Mus musculus: one gene and its partner. The protein of the gene in region 2 interacts with the protein of the main gene of each other region in a biochemical or structural test. Links are inferred from orthologs where the notes say so. Each region holds a gene or a part of one and is shown on either strand. Other genes may lie near its edges.

What was found.
Region 1: the proteins of Rel (region 2) and Nfkbie form a complex in vitro, tested with the Homo sapiens proteins (2 studies listed by BioGRID). The link is inferred for Mus musculus from reciprocal best matches to the Homo sapiens genes REL and NFKBIE.

What each region holds. Positions count from the first base shown.
Region 1 is NC_000083.6:45,554,374-45,558,708, forward strand, and holds the start of Nfkbie (NF-kappa-B inhibitor epsilon), read left to right. Parts: upstream 1-1,326; 5' UTR 1,327-1,567; coding exon 1,568-1,941; intron 1,942-4,121; coding exon 4,122-4,224; intron 4,225-4,335. UniProt on the Homo sapiens protein: Sequesters NF-kappa-B transcription factor complexes in the cytoplasm, thereby inhibiting their activity. Sequestered complexes include NFKB1-RELA (p50-p65) and NFKB1-REL (p50-c-Rel) complexes.
Region 2 is NC_000077.6:23,746,696-23,750,554, forward strand, and holds part of Rel (proto-oncogene c-Rel), read right to left. Parts: intron 2,197-3,859; coding exon 2,056-2,196; intron 1-2,055. UniProt on the Homo sapiens protein: Proto-oncogene that may play a role in differentiation and lymphopoiesis.

The sequences.
Region 1 (4,335 bases), on a different chromosome or scaffold from region 2:
TAAGGGCATTGCTAGCCCCAAGAAAAGAGCAGCAAGATGCTCCATCTCAGGGATCGCCTGTGGGTGGTGTTCTCTCAAACCCTAGTCATGTTGAAGAAAAGCAAGAAGGGAGGGGAAAGACTTCAGGGCTAGGGTGGAAACTTCAGTAGTGTCAGGGGCCTCCCCACCCTGGCTCCACTGTGAGGAACTAAACTTCTTTGACTGCTGGGGGCAGCCATCTCCTGTACCTACCAAAGGCCAGTGCACACCCTGCAAGGAAGAAGAAACCCCATGACCACCAAGGCTTGTGAGATAAGTCCTCCCTAGAAAACCCACTTCCCCAGATCACATCCTCCTGCCAAGTCTATCATCAGGGGAGTTGACCCAGAACTGTCTATGAAGGTTTCCCAGGGAAAAGCTGCTCCCCTGAAGATAATAGATGCACTCTCTCTTACCAATCCCCCTGAGCACTGATTGAAAATAAGTGAAAAGGCAAGAGAAGTTGAGAAAAAAATAGGCAGAGGATAGCAAGCAGAGCCACCATCACCACCCCTTCCCCATCTGTGCTGGCTAGTCAGGCAACTTGATGGGAGCCAGCGTCATCTGAAAAGAGGGAACCTCGGTTAAAATGCCTCCATAAGATCCAGCTGTAAGCCTCTTTCTTAATTAGTGACTGATGGGGAAGGCCCACCCCATCCCATTGTGCATGATGCCATCCCTGGGCTGGTATTCCTGGGTTCTATAAGAAAGCAGGCTGAGCAAGCCATGGGGAGCAAGCCAGTGTGCAAGACGCTCCCCATGGCCTCTGCATCAGCTTCTCCCTCCAGGATCATGTCCTGTTTCAGTTTTGTCCTGACTTCCTTTGATAATGGATTATGATCTTGAAGTATAAGCCGAATAAAACCTTCTCTCCCCAATTTGCTTTTTGGTCAGGGTATTTCATTGCAGCAATAGAAACGCTAAGACACCCCACCACCACCACCAACCTACACAAACTCCCCACAAAGTAGCCGGTTTATGCAGAAAAGTTTTTTAAAAATACACTTTTTAAACAATTGAATGAATAAATGAATGAAGACACCACGGAACTAAAAAGAAGGAACAAACAAATGCACGGAATTAGTGAATGAAATAAAAGGGAAGGGGAAGAATGAGTGAATGAATGAATGGGCGAAACAATCCACGCAGGAGTGAGTCAAGACTGGTAACCAGAGACTCCCTGCCTACGCAAGCAGCAAACAGGGGGATTCCGGAGGGGCGGGGCTCTACCCGGAAGCTCCTTTGAGGGCGGGGCTGTGGGCGTGGCAGTGGCTGCGGGCCACTTCTTGGGTCCGGGGGCGGGGCGACAGAGAAGACCTAACTAGGGACCGTTCAGCTGCCCAAAGCACCCGCTGCGGTGGACCTGGCCGGCGCCCTGGACCTCTCGCTTTTCTCATCCGCTCCCCGCGCCTGCACAGGCAGGTAATGAAGCCGCTCGGAGAGTGACTCTGGTTCTGTTAGGCGGTCACACAAACCCGGAAAAGCTCGCTTTTGCACACCTCAGAGTTAGATCCCGCTGGACCCTGGACCCCGGGCTGGCGCGGCCGGCATGTCGGATGCGCGGAAGGGGCCGGACGAGGCGGATGATAGCCAGTGTGACTCTGGCATAGAGTCGCTGCGCTCTCTACGCTCCCTGCCTGAACCTACTGCGGCCCCAGGCTCCGGATCATCCCAAAGCGGCTGCCCACAGCCTTGGAGACATGCTCCGGAGACCCACAAGGAACCAGAGAAAGAAGATGCGGATGGAGAGCGAGCGGACTCCACTTATGCCTCCTCCTCTCTCACTGAATCCTTCCCCTTACTGGAGAGACCCGAAGCCAAGGATCCAAGCCCTCCCGCCCCAGGATCGCCGCTGCCCCCCGCGGGGGTGCTGAGCCCTCAGCAACTCGAGGCGCTCACATACATCTCTGAGGATGGAGACACGTGAGTAAACTGGCTAGGCTGAGATAAGATGTTCAGTTAGAGCCCCCCTCCGAGCTGCAACTGGCTGGGCTACCACCACCACTTCATCACCCGAGAGGATAGACCCTCACAGCACCTGCCCTGGAAGGGCCAGCCTCCTTCTCCAAACTCCAAACTTAACTTGCAACTTGCTTTTAAGCTGTAGCCAGGTTCAGACCAAAAACCAGACATCATCACCTCTTTTGGGAGTGGACAGGATAGCAGTGCCCTTGTAACCTAGAACACCAGCCACAGTCTTGAAAATCTACTAGTGACCCACTCCTGGGAAGAGGAATTCCCCCGCAACCAATTCAGTTTTTGTTTTTCTTGTTGGGGGAAGGAATGTCCCTGTTTGCTCAATATTTGGGATACCAATGCCTAACTTCAGAACACCCTAACCAGAGGGGGGAAAAAAGACTACACCAGGATTACAGGTTGTCATCTGAGCTCAGGAAGCCTGGATTAACGGTGCTACCTGGATGCCCATTTGAAAGTGGTTCCAAAAGAGGGACTAGACTGAGAATTTTTGCCCCCAACAAACAGGATAGGCAGCTGGCTGCCCCAGCTCACTTCCTCCTCTGCTGAGAAAAGGGAAGTAATGGCTTGGCCTCAGCCTCCCCAACAGTTACCTCCTGAGCTCCCCAAATTCTTCTTGCTGTCCCATCTCTTGATCTCCCTTTTCTCCCTTAGGTCCAGCTGGAATCAGGTGCAGCTGGACTGTGAGGCTATCAAGTGTGTAGGTGTCAAGTGCAGAAGAGGTGACTGGGCTTTGTGGGTGTTAGAGCAGGGGCAGCTGGAGTGCTAGCTAGATGAGAGAGACGCTGGGATGCAGGGGGTACCTGTCCTGACCTGCTTGTTGGAGATGTAGGGGTCTTGGTTGGGTACTAGCAAAGATAGTCTCCATCCTGTGAGCAGGAGAGAGGCCTTTTGTATTTCAGGCGCCAGTCACAACCCTTAGGCCAGGACCTCAGAGTTCTGGGAGCTCTGTGCACAGCTTCTCGGGCCACCGCGCCCTCCACGGTTAGCCCCTGTGCTGCATGCAGCCTTGACACACTCTGCTTAGAGACAGATCCAGTGTGTCTGGAGAAGCATCAGCCCCCTCCCCCCCAGCCCCCAGCAGACATCTTCCCTCCTTTGGAGGTGGCTGGACTGTGGGAAGTATGGAAGTGGGAAAAGGAAGTGGGCAGGAGGAGGGGAGACTGAGGGAGAGAGGGAGGTGGCTGCAGGAATGTGACCCAGAGAGCAGGCCCTGGCCGAGGGGATTTCCACAGTGGTTCCTCCCTCCCTCCGTCACTCTCTCCTGGCCTCCTCTACTGCCTGCCTACAGCAAAAGTTTGCCCCCCCCCTCCTGCCTAAGTATCCCCCTCCCTAGCCCAGACAGGCCTTTAGCCAAGTTGCCCCCAAGGCAGCTGTCCAGGTCTAGACCATTTAACCCTGGCTTTCATTTTCCCCACCTGATGTGGGGAAACCCCAAGACTGGAACTTCCCATCCCAACTGCCCTGTTGGCCCTAACTTACAACTCCCATCACGCCCCCCCACCCCCGCCCCATCAAACCCATTTTCTGCACTGCACCAAACTCCCCCTTGGAGCTGTACCTAGGAGAGGGTTTGTGACCAGACCCCATATGATGGCTTGTGTGGAATGGCCCGCTTGACTAGTGGGTAAGGCAGCAGTTCCAAATGCCATGCTGGCTCCTTGGAGTGTGTGACATTGAGTCGCTGGGGGAACCCCACATCGGCCTCCTCCTGTCCTCCCTGTTGTGGGGAGGTGGGTAGCTCAGCCCTGGAAACCCCCTCTGTGTTTCTCCGGCAGCTTTCGGTTTAGCTTTGAGCTGCAGCTGGCCTGGCAGGGCCCTGGGGGCAGAAGGGAGCTGGGTGTGGGCACGGTGGACAGGAAGGCCCTTGTCCTGTCAGCACCCTGCCCACAGGTTCCACCCCCAGCCAAGGCTCTCCACGGGTCCAGCCATCCGAGCTTGGAGCTCCCATCTCCAGAATCCTGGCTTCCTGTATCAACCCCTCACTTCCTGGCCCAAACTCTCACTTCCTGCACCTGCTTGGTTGTGGGTAGCTAGTTAAGAGGTCGATGCATTCATTTCTAACCCCAAGACACCAGCTTATCACCTCTGACCTGGGCTCTGACCCTAGCCCTCTCCTGCTCCAGGCTGCTCCACCTGGCAGTGATTCACGAAGCCCCGTCGGTGCTATTCTGTTGCTTGGCTTTCCTGCCCCAGGAAGTCCTGGACATTCAGAACAACCTTTACCAGGTGAGTAGAGAGAGAAGGCTATGCCCAGGTGCCTGCTGCCATCCCCAGCAGCCAAACCCTCTGCTAGGCACAGCGCCAGAAGCTGCAATACAAAGATGCATACAGAGGAAG
Region 2 (3,859 bases):
ATTATAACTATAGTATGTCTGAGTGTGGTTATATGTAGGCCCAGGTGAGCATATGTCACAGCATATGTGTGGAAGAGGTCAGAGGACAACTTCAGGTGCTTGCTAGCCCTCAACTCCTACCTCTTTTGAGACAGTCTCTTTGTTACTTATGGCTATGTACACCAGGCTAGTTGGCCTTTTAACTTGAGCAGTTCTTGCCTCTTCCTCCTGTTTCTTGGTAAAGGCACACTGTGAATAAATGAGTCATTTTATATCACTGGCTATATCCCTAGGGCAATGCAGTTCTCATTTATCTTCCGAATATTATTATGATAGTTCTTAAAGGTACCCAAGGCTCTCTGTTAAGAATAATCTACCTCTATACTCCTATGGTCCAGTATTCTACATGCAAATCAGGTGTGGCATATACTACTGGTGAATGTGTGTGTATATACACAAAATATTTTGGAGGAAAGTTTTAAAATCTTTTCAAATAAACTTCTATATCCTTTGATGTAGGTATCTGTCAAAAGTTATTCTTTTAAAAATAAATGTCAGAAATATTTGCATAAGAGATAAACATTCAGGAGCCAGTGACATAGTTAAGGCAGCAAAGCCTGACAACTTGAGTTTGATCTCAGGGAAACACATGATGAAAGAGCACAGCCAAGTCCTGTAAGTTGTCTTCTGACCACACACATATAAACAGGCAGATACATGATCCATAGAGAGTTGTCTTTAAATGCACACATAAATATATCTACTTTGGTATAATTTGCTTACAAAAGGAAACAAACCAAATATATTCTTAAATATGATTCTTAAAAGTCATCTTTTTTATTTTTTATACTCCATATTAATGATTTCTTAAAATTAATATATAGACATATAAAAAAATATGCTTCTGAACAAGGTGACACTGGCCTTTAATACCAGCACTTGGGAGGCAGAGGCAAAAGTAGAGGCAGGTGGATCTCTGTGGTTCAAGGCCAGCCTGATCTACAGTGAGTTTAGGACAACCAGGACTGATACACAGAGAAACCCTTTCTTGAGAAAAAAGAAAAAGAAAAAAGTATAAAGCAACACAAAGAAAGGAAGAAGAAGGAAGGAAGAAGGAAGGAAGGAAGGAAGGAAGGAAGGAAGGAAGGAAGGAAGGAAGGAAGGAGATAAATATTCAGCTACTGGAAACCTAAGTGGGGTTTGGGGTATAGCTCTGTACAATGTCCTGGTTAAATGCCAGCAGTGTTTAAAAAGAAAAAAGAAAAGAAAAAGTGATTGAAAAAGGTTCAAGATACATTGCAAAGAGAAAAGTTCTGGGATTTTCTGTCTCTATCTATTGAGGAAGGATCCCATGTGACACAGTAGGGTCTTGAATTCCCATTTTTAAACATGGTAAAGGAAAACTTAACTCCTGATCTGCCTGCTTGGACTTCCCAAGTGCTATTATTATAGGCATGCACTACCACTACTGGCTTGAAAAAAAGTTGTTTTTTTTTAAAATATCATTGATCTTTTTTTTTAAGTTGCCAAACTTAGTGGGTGAATGGGGTTGATGAGGAAGATGGTGGTGTCTGTGCTTATTCAAAGGGACTACAGTGTATGCTTGAGGACAGTGGCCATTTAGGAGGAGACTAATGGTGATTTGCTCTTCTTTCTTATATATGTATATATGCTTGAGGGTTTTTTTTTCTATAATGAACAGTGCTTTGTTTATTTGTTTGTTTTTTGTCTGAGACAGGATCTTTTTATGTAATCCTGGAAATCACAGGGTAGACAAGGATGGCCTTGAACCCACAGGGATCTGCCTATCTCTATCTCTGAGTACTGGGATTAAAGACATGCACCGCCACCCCTGGCTTCTTCTTGTTTCTTGAGACAAGGTCTCAATGTGTAGTCCATTATGCCTTCAAACTTTATCCTCCTGCCTCAGCCTTCTGGTTGCTAGAATTATATGCACAAACCACCAATCCCACCTAACATACTCCTTTTCAAATTGCAAAAATCCTTTAAACTTTTCAGCAGTTAAGGAAATGAAACAAGCTAAAAGTACAGACATAAGAAAATTAAAGCACTTACGGTTGTCATAAATTGGGTTAGAAACAATGGGAGGCAGAGCAGTTGTGAAGTTACCATGTTCATCAGGAAGGAAAACTTGAAAACACAGCCTCACCACATTGAGGTCGCAGTCTTCAATGTCCAGCAGCTGCTGTTCAGGGACTGAACAGTACAATCTCAGATTTAGAATGTAGAACACATAATACTAATACTTTATTATTACCAAAATCCTGCTGTCTTTCTCTCTGCCCACAACATCCAATAACCTTAACCCGCACCTACGTCTGCAGAAAACTAAGATGGGGTTCAATCTCAAGAACAGTTTTCATTATTGTACAGTTACTATTTAACAGTATATAACAGACTGTAGCCATGCTCAGAGAGAGACTATACCAGGGACTAGGAACTTAAGGGCAGAATCATAAACTGACCACCAAAATCAAAAATCTTAAATATGGATACAAGTTATAGACAATGGGAAACATGCATACTTCATTTAACATAACACTTGGCCCAGTCTGTAATTACGTTCTAAATCTAGCAAAAATCACCATCATCCCTGTTCTTATAGGTAAGACATTGATTTTAAGGAGATGACATTATTTGTCTAAATAATAAATTTTACAGCTAAATAATAGCATGGAAATTTGAAGCAGAGGGTCATATTAACTTATTAACATATTGCACCAGCATTTTAGAGATGCAATGTGAAAAAGATATCAGATGATATAACTTTATGTGTAAGTCAAGTCAGCTTAAAAACAAACTGCACACCAGGGCATTTTTACAGTTCTGAAAAAAAAATACAAAAACTTGCCACAGAATATAGTACAATAGTCTCTTTGCATTGATATTTGAAAAGAAGCCCATTTCTAAAACAAAATATTGCTGCGTTTTGAAATATTTTAAGCCTATAGCAATAAATTGTTACTAATATATGCCATATTTTAAAAACATAAAATTCATTAAATTACATGAAAAATTTACTTGGAAAGGACACTAGTATTAAAATTAAAAGATTAAATATGAAAAATAATTAGCTAAATTCCCCAGTCTTACAGGTGATAACTTATTTAAAAAAACATATCTCACACAAAGCCAGTCAAATAGTCTCAGGAGTTATGCTAACACTGAAATTTATTCCAGTATCAGCATTCTTAAGCCTAACATTTGAGTCTATGAAAACATACTTGTACAACTAGAAAGGTCAAAATGGGGCTGAGAGAGATGATTCAGTCGGTAAAGTACTTTCCTTGCAAGTATGAGCTCAACCCTCCAACCCATGCAATGAAGCCAGGTGCAGTAGTAGTCAGGCTCCTGATAATATTCTCAGTGCCAGGAAGGCAGAAGCAGGGTACTGGTCGCCATCTAAGCCCGCAGATGAGAACCCCAGTTCAAAAAAGGGAGGCAGAAAATGTTGGAGGCAAACATCTGAGGCAGTCCTTTTGCCTCCATACCTAGGTACGCACCCTCATACCATGTTCAAGGGGAAAATATGAGGTTCAAAATGCTAAGAGGGCAGCACCTGTATCACAGTAGCACAGTTGCTGGGACCAGGACAGGCAGTAAGAGTGCAGGACTACTGAAAGTCTCATTTAATAGCAATATAAATTTAAGAGCTCAAGGTTTCAGTGTCTTCATTTCAAAGTGAGTAATCAATATTAAAACAAAACAGACAGACAGAAAGACAGACAGACAAAAACAATGAATGGCTAGGTGCTCCTGACAGTTTACAAATAAATTTCTGTTAATAGAAACAAGTTGTAGTATAGTCATACAATGAACAAATACTCAGCAATAAAGAACAAACTATGGTTATATTTTC